3 linked regions of the Macaca fascicularis genome follow. The protein of the gene in region 1 purifies or fractionates together with the protein of each later gene. This does not show direct contact. Links are inferred from orthologs where the notes say so. Each region holds a gene or a part of one and is shown on either strand. Other genes may lie near its edges.

The links. The genes of interacting proteins can lie anywhere in the genome.
Region 2: the proteins of UBR5 (region 1) and DYRK2 purify together in Homo sapiens (affinity purification with western blotting; 3 studies listed by BioGRID and IntAct, with this or other methods). This does not show direct contact. The link is inferred for Macaca fascicularis from reciprocal best matches to the Homo sapiens genes UBR5 and DYRK2.
Region 3: the proteins of UBR5 (region 1) and CEP78 purify together in Homo sapiens (affinity purification with western blotting; 3 studies listed by BioGRID, with this or other methods). This does not show direct contact. The link is inferred for Macaca fascicularis from reciprocal best matches to the Homo sapiens genes UBR5 and CEP78.

Annotation. Positions count from the first base shown.
Region 1 is NC_088382.1:111,883,551-111,888,642, forward strand, and holds part of UBR5 (E3 ubiquitin-protein ligase UBR5), read right to left. Parts: intron 4,349-5,092; coding exon 4,228-4,348; intron 4,127-4,227; coding exon 4,022-4,126; intron 1,257-4,021; coding exon 1,013-1,256; intron 1-1,012. UniProt on the Homo sapiens protein: E3 ubiquitin-protein ligase involved in different protein quality control pathways in the cytoplasm and nucleus. Mainly acts as a ubiquitin chain elongator that extends pre-ubiquitinated substrates.
Region 2 is NC_088385.1:74,411,872-74,416,963, reverse strand, and holds part of DYRK2 (dual specificity tyrosine-phosphorylation-regulated kinase 2), read right to left. Parts: intron 2,365-5,092; coding exon 757-2,364; 3' UTR 1-756. UniProt on the Homo sapiens protein: Serine/threonine-protein kinase involved in the regulation of the mitotic cell cycle, cell proliferation, apoptosis, organization of the cytoskeleton and neurite outgrowth. Functions in part via its role in ubiquitin-dependent proteasomal protein degradation.
Region 3 is NC_088389.1:108,871,899-108,876,990, reverse strand, and holds part of CEP78 (centrosomal protein of 78 kDa), read right to left. Parts: intron 5,034-5,092; coding exon 4,969-5,033; intron 4,563-4,968; coding exon 4,451-4,562; intron 3,072-4,450; coding exon of another isoform or gene 2,920-3,071; exon of another isoform or gene 2,580-2,919; intron 1,399-2,579; coding exon 1,263-1,398; intron 94-1,262; coding exon 48-93; intron 1-47. UniProt on the Homo sapiens protein: Centriole wall protein that localizes to mature centrioles and regulates centriole and cilia biogenesis. Involved in centrosome duplication: required for efficient PLK4 centrosomal localization and PLK4-induced overduplication of centrioles.

The DNA of each region.
Region 1 (5,092 bases):
AGTGAGGTTATGATAGTGTCACTATAAATAATGCTGAAATTTCTTACATGACTAGACTCATTTAAATATCATCTGTTCTTAGTTTTGGGCATGAAAGCATTAAAGGCAACCAGAGTATTATCTATGATTATGTTTAAATTCCTAAGCCCAAGCCAGAGTACGGTTTCCTGTAAGTGTACAAAAAAGATAGTTTTGAAATGTTATGATTTCCCAGTTTCCTCGAGTTTCCTCATTCACATCTCATTTCTTTTCATTATAACATTAAAGAAAGTGAAATGGTGAAACTGATGAAAAGCTGAGGAACTCTCACCATCAATCCTTTCTATAGCTCATTCAGTCTCCATCCACCTACAAGTCTGATAATCTTCTGCTCCTACTTGATGTGAATCTCCTAAGGCTTTTGTAATTTTCACAAATTTTAAAATTTGCTCATTATAATCTTAAAACTTAGCTAAGAGTCCTAACCCCAAAGTGCTGATCCTCAGTGAGGTAATAAGCTTGCACCAGGATTCTTTTTTTTTTTGTAAGTCTTACTAAACAGTGAGCTTAGTGACACAGTTGATTTACACTTGGCTGCAAAATCTTCTTCTCACTGGGGAACAGCAACAAGTTTGGAAATCGTAATTTGAACAGCACTGCTCTTAGAATAGCATTTTCTTCTCAAATATCCATGTGGGTTAAATACTGAAGTGGAGGAAATGCTGCAATTTGCTCAGTGAATTTTTATAGCACTATGTATTTTACAACCTCTTACCCACCCGCAACATGTAACAATTGAGATGAAAAACTAGTACAATCACAAACATTTATCAAAATAAATTTATCAAAATAAACGTAAAGTAAGAAATTGTCGTCAATTGGAATAGTTTAAATAACATTAAATCAATCTAGAATAAAATTATGTAAAAACGTAAATTTATACTCTCACACATATATAAACCATGATTACCACTGTTGGTTTGAGGGACAAGGAAAGAAGTTTTATGATGCTTGTTATCTGTGGACTACTTACTTGTGTGGGTGCCTTTGTTGGCATTTTGGATACACTCTAGATTTGGCAATTTTTCATTTGACAAAAATGCTTGTGCAATGGCTGTATAAAAACTTCGTGCTACACCACTGCCCTCTCCTGGCTCATCCTTAAATGTGACTTTTACTCTGTGTACAGCCATTGGTGTAGTAGCACATCTTCGACCAAAGTGATTGTTAAGCTGCCTCATAGTCTGCTGAATGAGAAGATCTCGATCCCGATCAACCTATTAAAACACATCAAGAAGTAGTAAATTCAATGTTGGAAAGTAGTTAGAATTTTTTGTAGTTTGAATTTTTCTATTTTCAATCTGAAAATCTAGTTTTAGCTTTTCCTTGAGAGTTTAAAAAACTACAAAGTAATCAGAGTTCTCAGAAGCTTATCCATTACGAAATACAATGTTTAAACCATTAAAGCACACAAGAAGGTCTTGCAAATTAAATCAGGACAACAGAATTTAATTCAATTCTAACACTTTCTTTCAAAGGTTTATTGGAAAACAATAATCTTGTTCAATTTTGGGATACACCAGAATACCAAATAATCAGAGATGTTAAAAAAAAAAAAAACAGAAAAAAACACAGATGAATTCCTTGATGACAAGCTAAGTGGGCGGGAGGCTGGAGGGGAATTAACCAAACTGGAAAATTGTTTGCATCTTTTCTCACAAAGATATATATAATCATTAATGAGTGTGTCTATCACCTGTAGCTACATAAAAAGCCTCTGAAATCTGAGAGAAAGCCAACTTAGAAAAAAAAATGGGCACATCAACTGAGTTAAATACAACTATCCTAAATATATGAAATAATGTTTAACTTTGCTCAAAATAAGATAAATTCAAATTAAAACTATACTGAGGTGCTATTTCTTACCTATCAGATTAGCAAAAATCTAGAAGTTTAACAAATGCTGGCAAGACTGAGGCAAATCATGCATTCTCACATTGATGGTGAAAATGCAAAATTATGCAACTGCTATGCAGAAGTATCCGTCAATGTCTAGCAAAATCACATGCACATACTCTTTGACCCAGCAATTCCACGTCTAAGCATCTATCTCAGGGACACACTAGCAAAAAAACACAAGGCCATTCATCACACTATCTGTAATAGCAAAAGACTGGAAATAAGCCTGAATACCTAGCCTGTAAGGGATTAGCTGCAAAAACTGCGATAACAACCATAAAAGTGCAGTATATTAAGCAGCTATAAAAGGAAGGTAGAACATTTCACATTTTCTCTGGGATATACTATTAACTGAGAAAAGCAAGATGGAATAAAATGTATAGTATGTTTGGGGAGGTGGGAGGAAGTATGTAATTAATACACACATATGCTTATATGTTTTAAAAGGGAGGGAAGGAAATAAACTTGAAAAAATGGGTAAAAGAGACAAGAATAGACTTATATTCATTCTTTTGTAGAGTTCACTCTGCCACACTGTAGATATTTTACATTGATTACAAAATAAAACCAAAAGAGGAAAAAGGAATCCCTAAAATCTGAAAGCAAAATGAAACAAAAGGTCCTAATCATATAGAGCTGGTAGCAAAACCTACAAAGAGAAATTACTTCAAGTGACTTTAAAATAAACCTCCTTTAACTGTGTTATCTCTAACTGTATATGATCTAAGTACAAACATCTGCAAATAAATCTTTAATTATTTTGAATAATCATTTTGTTAGTGGTAGTGTTGATGTTATAATTCTTTTTAAGAGACAGAGTCTCTCACATTATGTTGCCCAGGCTGTCCTCGAATTCCTGGACTCAAGCCATCCTTCCACCTCAGATTCCAGTGATGTAATTCTGACTGCTACTGTGTATGTTGTGGCATTAAAACAAATGAGTAATTTGATTAATGTTGTTGGGAAGTTGGATATTCAGTCTGAAAGAAAGGAGATAAAGACTTAAGATCTAAGAAGCAAGGCCAGGTGTGGTGGCTCACACCTCTAATCCCAGCACTTTGGGAGGCCAGGGCAGGTGGATCACCTGAGGTCGGGAGTTTGAGACCAGCCTGGCCAACATGGTGAAACCCTGTCTCTATTAAAAATACAAAAATTAGCCAGGCATGGTTGCAGACACCTGTAATCCCAGCTACTCAGGAGGCTGAAGCAGGAGAGTCTCCTGAACCCAAGAGGTGGAGGTTGCAGTGAGCCAAGATCATGCCACTGTGCTCTGGCCTGGGTGACAAAGCAAGACTCCGCCTCAAAAAAAAAAAAAAAAAAAAAATCTAAAAAGCAAAAATAACAAAAACAACCTTGTGGTCCTACATCTTGAATTTGAATTGGGAGTATCAATATTAATTCATTATTTTATTTTTTTAAAAAAAGAACAAAATAAAATGCACTGCCAAACTGTTATCAATTAAAAAGGCCTAGAAACCATGATCAACCCAGTAGCAATTTGCAATCTTAGAGCACAGACTGTAATCTCAAAACACAATTTCCTACTAAAAGGAATCAAGGCTACTTTAAGAAATGGCTGATTTAAGGTCTGCGACAGGAAATGCACAAGATGAAACATACCAGGAAGTAAGAAAGTTATCAAAAATTACTGGGCCAATGCCAAAAGGACTGAGGAATCAAAATTGACTCAAGACTCCCATTAGCCAAAGAAGACACAATTTGAGCATCAATATGAATAATAATCTCAATGGAATTAAATACATAAAAAAATCTTTAAATCAAGGCATGCATAATGATACTTAAAAACTAAAACAAAAAAATTCATAGAGGATGCTAGGGAACCAAACTGCCAGAGAAAACCACTATTCTAAATTTGATGGTTACAATAAGAAAAAAATAAAAAGAAACCACACACACACACACACACAAATAAAAAATAAATTTGGCAGTTTAACATGTCTTTTATTTTCTTTAATTTTTTAATTATAAGTACATATACCTAAGTAAAGCTACTGTTATTTTGTATGTTTTAAAATTTATATAAATAGCATGCTACAGGTATAGTATAAGAAAATCTAAATACCTTTACCTCTAGTGATAAATCTCTTGACTGCTGGTTTCTCAGTTTTTCCATTTCTCTACGGAATTTTGATTCTTTTACCTCAAAACCACCCAATTCAGTCAGGATCTTAAAAAAAAAAAAAAAAAAAAAAAAAAAGCATGACAGATTATTCCCTGAAATATGTGCTCATCAGGCAGAATGGAATTTAAAGTGCACAAAATACATACTGATCCAGGTTCTGCTCCAACATCTTCCATGAATACCCTGCCGAACAGTTCTAAAGAAAGGCGCCAACGTCCTAGCAGCATATCATGGGAAATAACCATTCCCATAAAGCTACACTGTGGCCTGTAAGAAGTTTAAGGGAAGGGGCGGGGCGGGGAGGAAATACTTTAGCCAATTTCAAAGACTGATGTTTTTCGTTCAATGGTAGTAACTTACTTTATTTATTTTTTTTAATATTCTGAGGTCTTAACTTCTTCAAACTGCATCCTAACAGAGAACTTTTCCATAGCTACTTGTTCCCCACAGAACTTATTATTTTTCCTCCCTTATTCCTTCTGTCTTCTACATACGGATAAATCCCTGGGCTATGTCTTACCTTCATCTTTCATTTTATCTCCTCTCCTTAAAGTCCAATGTCCATCTCCATTTAGGTGACTCCCAGATTCACCTCTACTTCAAACTTGCACCATGAACCAGAATTTCCATTTGTTAAATAAATATGTCCACGTCGATGATGCTCAATTCAAACTCAGCATGGCTAAAACTTAATATGGCTTCTTCACCACAATGACAATTCTGATTTTTTTTCAATAGTACCATCTCTTTCCCTAATGCCCTGACTTAGAGCAGATTTTAATTTTTCTTCCTCCTGTTCCATCAAAGTAATCAAGTCCATCTTAAGTCTCTCTTCCTTTCCACCATGTCCTTTCTATCCCCAAAGTCAACATTCTGCCTCAGCATCTTTCCCCCAACTAACTGAAACTATTAATAATGACAAACACCTTTCTAACTGGCCTCCTTACCTCTAACTCTCTCCAGTCTGTTTCTGCACATTCTAACCACCTCAATTCAATCCATACTGCTTCT
Region 2 (5,092 bases), on another chromosome or scaffold:
ATGGAATACAATTCTAAATTTAGGTGCAAAAGCAACTCTGTAATATGAGGCTTCTTTACAAAACAGCTTGCCGATCATACTAGAAAATTTGGAGGAACACACACGTTTCCATTTCCATTTATCCACTAAAAGCTGCTTTGCCAGTTTTTAGAATGTCAGAATGCTAACTGGGCAGTTTAAACCTTGGGGATCTTATTTTGTATTTGTTTCAGCACTAGAGAAAAATCTCTAAGGTACAGTTTTTCTTAGGATATCACTTTCATTCTGACTGTTCTCCTCCCACTACCCCACCACCCAAATTTATGAAAAACGGAAGCAGGACATGCTACACCTGTGCATGGACCTGGAGCATGGAGGGAAAAGGAGGGCCTTACGGGGCTGTCACCCTGGGGAGGATATAACATGAACCATAAAAACATAGTGAATGTCTTTGACACCAATCTGTAAATGCGTGGCAGTCATGAAGTAATCAATGGCCTGCCACTGATGTTATTATTCTGCCACACTAAATACAGTAAGGCTCATTGTACTTTTAGAACACAAAAAGTTTCCGAAAGTATAAAAACTTAAAGCATTGTCCTCATGTATTGATAAAAACAAAATGAACAACTTTCTTACATTAAAATTAAGTGCTGAAAAGATACAAATGAGTAGAGTTATTGAGCAAATAAAAACAGGTCTGAGCTACTCCTTTTCAACCCAATAAGGCTCAGCAAAGTTGTATCTTTCAGATTACCAGCATCAGGGGACATGAGCTCAGCTAACGAGTTTTGGCAACACTGTCCTCTGCTGAATATTCCCGTTGGCATCTGTCATCTGCGCCAAATTAGTCCTCAGTTTGGAAGCTGAGCTGGAAGGTGGAGGTAACTTGGATATAGATGTGATAGCACCGGTGCTCTCAGTTATCCTTTTCACTGACGTTTTCTCCCCGGTGGGAGGCTTTGGCAATCGCCTCCTCAGCCAGGGGTGCCGCAAAGCCTGGCCTGGGGTCATGCGCACTGCAGGATCCCACTCTAAACACTGTTTTAAGAAGTCAAGGAAAAGGGGATCGTCACACCCCTTCAGCGCGTTCCCCCACTCTCTGCTCTCCGGTGGGCCCCTCAGTTTCCCCCTCCGGGAACGGCCTCCGTTGAGGACCACAGAGCCATCTGAGAGAGTCGTGACAGTGCAGTAACGGGGGTAACCCTTGGAGCTCACAAAATTTTTGGCTCGTTTGGACGCATCCAGCAGTTTCTGCGAGGGCATGCCCAACAGTTCAATCATACAGGCCAGCTGGTCCCCTTCATCCTCCCCAGGCAAGAGGGGGTAACCCGTCAGGAGCTCAGCTAAAATGCAGCCCAGGCTCCACATGTCAATGGGCATGCCATACCTGGCCCCAAGGATCACTTCTGGAGCCCGGTAAAAACGCGACTGGATGTACGTGTAGACACGCTGATGCTCGTAACAACTGGAGCCAAAATCAATCACTTTAATACCACTTCTACCCTGCTGCTTTAACAAAATGTTCTCGGGCTTAAGGTCACAGTGAATTATTCTGTTTTTGTGCAAAGCATCCAAGCACTGCAGAATCGAGTGGGCAAACTTGCGAACCAAAGGCAGGCTGAAGCCCTGGAATTTATTCTTCTTGATGAGCTCATAGAGGTTCATGCTCAGCAGCTCAAACGTCATGCAGATGTGGTTGCGGAAGGTGAAATTCTCCAGCATATGGATGACATTCATTGTGTTATCCTTGTCCTGCTTCCGCAGGTGTTCCAGGATTCGGATCTCCTCTGCTGCTTGCCTGTGGAAGCGCTTCTCATTCCGCACCATCTTTAGGGCCACGTGCTGGTGGACTTTGTGATCGTAGGCCTTGACCACCTGCCCAAAGCTCCCCTTCCCAATGACCTTGAGGACCTCGTACCTGTAAGCCACGTGATCATGGGGCACCTGCACATATGATCCCTGGTCATCATCATAGCCACCATTGTTGGGCCCACCTGTCATGCCCTGGCGCTTCTTAGCATTTAGACCCAAGAAATATATTTCAGGGTAGCTGAAAATCTCATGGTGTTCAAAGGCTGTGAGTTTTTGCATGTATTGCTTCATTGCTTGTTCAGGTGTCATGGGGGTGGCTTTCACCTTCCCCATGCCTTCCATGGACTTCAGAGACGTGGAGCTCCCCTGCCGTCTATGAATGCTGTCCAGCTGCCGCTCTGGCACCACTGGCAAGCCCGTTTTGCCCACTGTTGTAAGCCCATTTGGTTGTGTCGTGAGCACTGTCCGCTTGTTACTGTTATCCTCAAACAGCTGTTGAACCTGGATCTGTCCATGAGGGTGGCTGCCAACATGCAGGTGATCATTCATTGTGTGCTTACTGCCGCCAATCTGGAATTCAGACAGGAAATATAAATAGAAAAGAAGTGGTGTCTGTTCACACGGGGTATAATTAACCCCCATCAGCAACCACCCCCTCCACCCTACCTTTACAAAATCCCACTTGGATTGAGTAAAGGCCACAAAACATGTGATCCTGAAAAAAGGACCTCATAAATGCCATGCCTAACAGAGAAGATGGTTTGCTGTACATATTCAGGGTTCCCCACGGAGGCAGAGACCATAACTTTATCATTCTATATCTGACACTTAGTATAGGGCCTGGCACATCATAGATGTTCCACTCAATCCACACTTGATATAAAAATGAAACAGGATACAGAAAAAACATGCACACATAAGACTCTATGTTGGCTCCTCCACCCCCAGATTACAGCACCTTTCATATTTCATCTAGTAGTTTATTAACATGAGGACAGGGACCATGTCTGTCTTGTTCACTACTCTTCCCCTAATACCTAGAGCTCTATCCTGAAAACACTTCATCACCAGGACTTCCCCTTTCCTTGAAAATCTGATGAAACCTAAGTGCACACATGATCCAGTGACAAAAACAAAAACCCTGTGTTTTAGGCTTGAAAGATTCCCATGTAGATATGCGCCACAGTGTCTTATAAACCCCGAACCTATTTTTAAAAGTTCCCAGGCTTTACTAACTGTAATAACCATTTAAGGCATTCAGCCCAACAAACCAAGCAACAACCACACTGTTTGGCCTTCCTCCAGAGGGGTCAGGGGCTCAGCTCTCTGAAGATGTCCATTTCTACGACCTGCTGGGATACTCGAGGTTTCCAAACAGGAATCCAAAGCAGCAACCTCTTGTTTCAGGTACGCATGCCATCCCTGAGCATTCCTGTCTAAACTCTACCAATGGTGTGAGCCAAGGGGCCCCAGCCCTCTACTGACAATCTTCTTGGGATTTCCTTTAAGCATTATGACTGCTGAGAGGTAATGGGTAGGAGAGGACTGGCAGCCAGGATCCTCTCCCAGTTAGGAATTCCTGCCTTGGACAACCCCAAGTCTTAAAGCAGCCTGGGAGGTGATTTTTGTATGAAATCTTACATCAACTTGTCATCACAATCCACCTCATTCATTCAACTGGTGTTAACAGAAGGCTGGCTGCCAAAGTGACAGAGTCCCTGCCCTCCAGGAGCTTACAACTAACTAGATGAAGTCTGTTGCCATCAGTATTTTTTCTATTATCTCTTTTAAATCCTACTTTTAGGGCTTTACCTACTACTGAAAGAGCAGAAGGGCTGTGTATATGTAACATAGTAATTCAAAAATGATTTGGGAACACCTGGATTATAAAATGAAATTCTAACTCCTTCTTACTAACAGACTAAGATGTTCACATTTTCTTTATTGGATACATAATATGCACAATGACTGTGTGGAGAGTGAGCTTCCTCTCTGCCCACTTCTAACTAAAACAAAACAGAAGACAATACTTGGGGCCTGTCTGACTGTGACTTCATATAGGCTCAGGGATATCATTTCTCAGACTTATAACTGAGCTTTTTTATTAAACTCATAGATGATACTCCGTGCTAGCTGATCTTATATTCAGTAAGAGTAGCTAGAAAGGTTATTTTACCCTTGTTCTATGTCAAAAGCAGGGCAGTCCATAAAAATGAATCAGGCAAGTCTCGGGCATATATACAAGAGGTACAGGCTTGTCCAATGCTTTTCTTCCCCAGCCTCGCTCTCTGCACCCTCTCCTGTCCACTGTGGTCTTTCAAACACTAGGGAATAAAGGGGCCTGAATCAAAATATCTCTCTCCTAAAGAACCATTATCTTCAGAGTGGAGTGGTGATATTTCAGAAGAAAAATCCACATTACCTGTATACATGCTATTAAAAAGCACAAAGCTGCTTCATTAGGACAAAATTAACCTTGGGGCTTTAGAGATTTCTAAAAACACAGCAAAGTAAAACCAAGCCTCCAAAATTTACTTTAAGCAATTTCTGTGTTTCGCATAATTTAATACATGCTCACAAATGTTTTAGTAACTAAAACTAATGAGACTGCCAAGAAACGACCATCTTCTATATCTCCAAATGCCTTCTCTTGGTCTCCTTTGCAGCATCAACTACTGGTTCACCTAACCTTAGGTGGGTTCAAGAGTTCCCCAGGGTTCAAGCCTCGATTCTCGTGGCTTCTTACTCCCATAAGCCCCTGCAACTGATCCTGAACACAGCCAGGGCTTCAGCAACTGCCCATGGCCTGAGGTTTGCACATTTGTTCCTTGAACTCAGACCTGCCAAGGTGCTATCTCCTGAGTGCAAGACACACATATCCAACTATCAATCAGCTCCCTCTCCCATAAGCAACTCAAACTTAACTCATTATTTTTCTACCAAACTGGTTTCCCACTCCCATAATCCTCCATTTTTGATCAACAGAAGGCTTCCCCTCCATGTAGTCAGTCACTCAGGCTATCCACCTGCAAATGAATCCTCAGCACTGTGCGCCTGGAAAACCTCTCAACACCTCCCTCACCTAAGATGCATCATTACTATCCCACGCCCTTTCCATCAACACTGCCTCATCTCACTCTCCTGATGTCTTTCACTGGGACAACTGAGGCAGCATCGTAAGTCTAGAATTCTAAGTCTAGAATTCCTCAAATCTCTTCTCCATAGTGCTTCTAGAGTTAACCATTTAAAAATCTCAACCTGAGACCACTCTTGCTTTTTGCCCAAGGCCCATGGCTGT
Region 3 (5,092 bases), on another chromosome or scaffold:
CTTCCCATTCCAACCCCCTACATATTATAAACACGGTAACTACGTACCTGCAACTGATTATATATATCACGTGTTTTGATTAATGGGAAACCCCTAAAGAGATATTGATAAATTAAGTTATATTTTGATGTAAATACACCACCAGTTAACACTAGGTAATAACACTTGCTAGTATTATGTAGACTATCCATACATAACTGTGCATAGAAATAAATCACCTCCAGATAAGGGCCTGGAAAACTCTGCTATGGAGAAAATTAAACAATTTAGCAGAATGGCTTTGGGATAAGTCTCTGAAGATGCATGTAGTTCTTATGTTCAGGATGGTTCAGATTTCCAATTTAACTTCTTTAACTGGTGATATTAATTGTTCTCTAATTCACAACTCCTTGTGACCAAGATGGGACTTGAAATGAGTAAGTATCTCAAGAAGACATGAAACTGCAGTTATTAAATGTAAGTGTAAAGACCAGGGCCTCAGCACTACAGTTTATGCAATAATAATTCACATTACAGTTGTAAAATAAGTATAGTCATCAGTTGCCTAATAAAGATTATACATATTCAATTTAATCTGAGCAACTGAACAGATATTTCACATAGCACCTATTTCCAGTCCTATTTAAAATCAGTTCTCTGTCTTCTTAAGCAATTGTTAATCTCCAATTTCTTGAATACTAAAAGTCATTTGAAAACAATTTATAGTAATCTAATTCATTTATTAAGCATAAAATTATAGTACAACATTTTAAAAACATTCTTCTGACAAAAATTACTATGAATAGCTACCCCCTAGGTAACTGGCTAAAACTAGTTATATCTGGTTTGATTCACTAAATATGATTCACTAAAATGAGTTAGGCCAGTTGGCTGAGTTAGATTAAGTCTAATCAACACTCTCCTATGCTTTACAATGCCCTTTCCCCAATCTTAAATATCCAAATTCCTACTTCTGTCCTATAGGACTTGGTTTAACTGCACATGCTTTAAATGAAACCTTTCCTCACCTGCACAACTGGAGATAATTTCAGTTTCCTCTGGACTCCCACAAGGATACAGCTTGCTGTGACACTTAATAACTTGAAACCCTACTTAAGATTATTTTTTGTTTTTCTTCCTTAAAGGATTCATGAGGCAGAAGCCACATGAGTCATTTTTACCCTATAGACATAAGCAGAGAACTCTCACATAATAGAAGCTCCAAAATAAAGAATTTTGAATCCCATTTTTATCCTAAAAGATAGAAAATAAAAATACCCTACCTGTGCCTTTTTGCACGTTCTGCAGTACGCCATGGCAAGAAACCAGACACACCAGGTGGTAGAGGTGCGGGCGCATATTCTTTACCAAGGGAGTGTTTTCTGCCACTACTTACAGGTTTCTTTGTAGCCAATCCTACTTGAGAAAGTGTTAAAAAGAAAGAATTAAGATGCACTAAAGGTCTACAGATTAATTAGCACATGTGCATACTCTTAAAAGAATACCAATGGGCACCTGACAATGACACCAAGGCCATTAAATCAGGATCAATTTGTAAATATCTTTTTACATAGGCCACTAATAAATATAAGAATAAATATATTTTAATATATTTAAATATAAGTTAAAAATGTAATAAATATATAAAAATTAAAAATATAAGTTGTCTAGAGTAACAAGTTATCACTTTAACTAAAATATAACTTTAATATATGAGACATGCAGAGCATGAAAAAGTAAATAAAACATGTAACCCAAAGAATGAAAGATTATATGTGATACATTTCATTATGCATTATGCAGAAATATTGTTATTAAATCTCAGAATATTTTTGGCATTCCTGAATCTCAAGGACAGAACATAGATATACCCATGACTCCTACCAAACAGAACCTTCTGAATTGGACCAAAATTTCAATGTGAGATTAATTTTATCATGGAAAAATTATCCAAGTTATAAGAGTGAAGGTAGCTGGACTAATTTTATAATGTAAAAACTATCCAAGTTGTAAGACTGAAGGTAGCTGGGTAGTAGGTGAGTCAATGTTGCCGCCTGTATGTCTGTCCACCTTCAGTGTTCATTTGCTTTTATAGAATACAAAACAAACACATGAAACCTATTGGATAAAAGAATGAAGCATAAAGTCTTATCCTACATTTCAGTATTAAAGAGTCAAGTATCTTTTTATGAAACATTTGGTAGCAAAAGCTAGACCTATTAATATTTTATTTAAAACAAATTATATATTAAAATTCACATTTAAATATATGTTTCTGATATCGCTGAGAACAAATAATACAAGTTTATTAAAATGGTTATATTTATCCTTCCAATCTATTTTACTATGTAAGATCTACTTTAGCAGCTTTAGGACAGCATCTACAAGAACGTGTATGTGGTAATACAGGACAAATATTTCCCATAGTGTAGCTTATTGATAATCACCACATCATGTTGTGCCATTTCTCTGGACAAATTTATATACCTCTTAAAATATATAGGAGCTCAGTTCATTGTATGCTGTTATTAATATAATTATCCCAAAAAAATGTTCCTGTGTATTGTTTGTGGTGTGTGTAGAAAGTAATGCAAATATAATTTTTTTTTTTTTTGGAGGAGTCTCACTCTGTCGCCCAGGCTAGAGTGTAGTGGCACAATCTTGGCTCACTGCAACCTCCACCTCCCAGGTTCAAGCAGTTCTTCTGCCTCAGCCTCCCGAGAAGCTGGGATTACAGATGCACACCGCCACACTCAGCTAATTTTTTGTATTTTAGTGAAGTTGCCCAGGCTGGTCTCCAACTCCTGAGTTTAGGCAATCCACCCGCCTCGGCCTCCTAAAGTGCTGGGATTACAGGCGTGAGCCACCGTGCCCAGCCACAAACAGAAATTTTAGTTAAAACCAAACTAATTTACTTATCTTGTTAGATGATGAAAAAAATTATAGTGGAAGTTTCCTATCTTCTGTCTGCACACGTAATTGCAATATGAATGTAACATAATTTACATAAATTATATAACCCCTATACTCACTGACACCTATTAAATATATAGCCAGACACTGATTTGGCTTACCTCTGTGTCTCCAAATAACTGAGGCAAATACAAAAAAAGCCCAAGAAATAAAGTTACTCTTAAAATAGCTCAGTGAGCTTGTAAACTTCAGTTACATTTCCAATTTCTTTAATCATGCTAAGAAAAAAGATTTTTTGAATTCTCATTCAATGATGTCCAATTATATACCACTAGCTACTAAAATTATAGTATTTCCAATGTTTTATATTTTATGTTAAATTGTTTTATATCTTAGCCATTTTTAAGCATACAGTTAGTTCAGTGATATTGTCAAGTGATAGCTTTTAAAAATTTCAAGTAGCATCCAAATAAAAGATTATCTGGTATTAATTGTTTGGTGATCGTAATGTACAGGGTATGTAACTAAAGTCACCACAAACCTTTTTCTGGGAAACTGGCAGATTATAAACATAAAAAAATTATTTTGTTTCCTCTGTATTAGTCTTCATGGTTTTACTGTTTCAAAATTCAAAGTTACTTACAAGAAAAGGTCACTTTCATATTAGATTTGGCTTAACTTATTCCACTATCACTCATTCTTATCAGTAAAAAAAGGCTACTTATGACTAAAGATAATGTGTTCTAGAAAATAAAAGTTAAAGACTCTTTAAAAACAAAACGAAAATATCAGTAGAACTAGATTATACCAAATTTATATATTCAGGAGAATGTGAAATTTATGTCATTAGTTGATAAAGAGTTTATAAAGTTTTCTTTCATTACTCTTTGTCACAAAATTATAGACAATTTCAAAATTCTAGACTGTTATTTGGCAGATTAAATAAACTATAAATAGCAAACATTTACGGAATGTTTGTCTAAAATGTTCCATCTCTGGGTAATAAACTTACCTGCAGTATTGTTTTATAAGGATTACATACGATTTAAGGTTTTTTCATCATTGAAAGAAGCAAGGTGCTACCTGATTCAACAACTTTGGGTAAGAATTTGCAAGGAAGGAGGAGGAAACAAAGGGAAAAAAGGGAACTGGGAAGAGATTTTGTTTTCTATAGTATGAAAGGATAATTTTTCATTAACAACAACAACAAAATCATACAAACGCACTGCTGCTAAAACTGTCATCAAAGTGCATCCCAAATTTCAACTGCAAAGTATCAGAAGTAATCATCAATCAGAAAACATATCTAAAATCATCAATGTTGTATGAAAAACAAATAAGGGTAATTTTTAAAATGGAAGCACTAGCATCCCTTTCCTAATGATTCATTTACTATTTCTACATTCCATAAATTCTCATAATCAGAATAATTATAGTCCTAATAATATGCACAGAGTCAAAATTGGTTGTTACCGTCAATATCATAAATGAGAAGAGATTTTGATTTTAACACACTAGAACACTAGTAGCATTAAAAAGCCAAGACCAAAAAGGTTACCAATTCTAATAGTAGCTTTTCCTTTGTGACCACTTCCTAGAATTATAGTTCTCTTTTTCTGTTTAGCAGTTTTGGATGGTTCCTTCACTGATGGAGAAGTTATCCACTGGTACTAAAAGAGAGAGAATAAACACTACATTTCAGTTACAGATCATTTATGAGGGTTAGATCTTAAATGGAAATTGTTAAGATATTCTAAGTTAATAAAAGGTTTGCAATCAGCAGTTCTGGGACCCAAAATTAAAGAATCGTATGGTATTTACAAAAACAGAAAAGACATTTGATTTGACTGTAAATTTAAGATGGCAGAAAAGTGCCTTAATAGTTTCATCTTATTAAAAACAGACAAAAAGCTGGGTACAGTGGTATATACCTAGAATCCTAGCTACCTAGGAAGCTGGGAAGGGGGAAGATCGCTTGAGCTCAGGAGTTTGAGGCCAGATTGGGCAATATAGTGAGATCCCAGAAGAAAAGCAATTAAATAAGAATTATTTCTAGAGAAATAAAACATGATATACCTCTGATTTAGCACTGCTTCCATTCTGAAGAACTTTTTTGATAACTGCTTTCATCATAGAATGATCTAAAGTAAAATAAAAATTGAAATTATAGTAATTGTTTCCCAATGAGCGGCTATTCCCA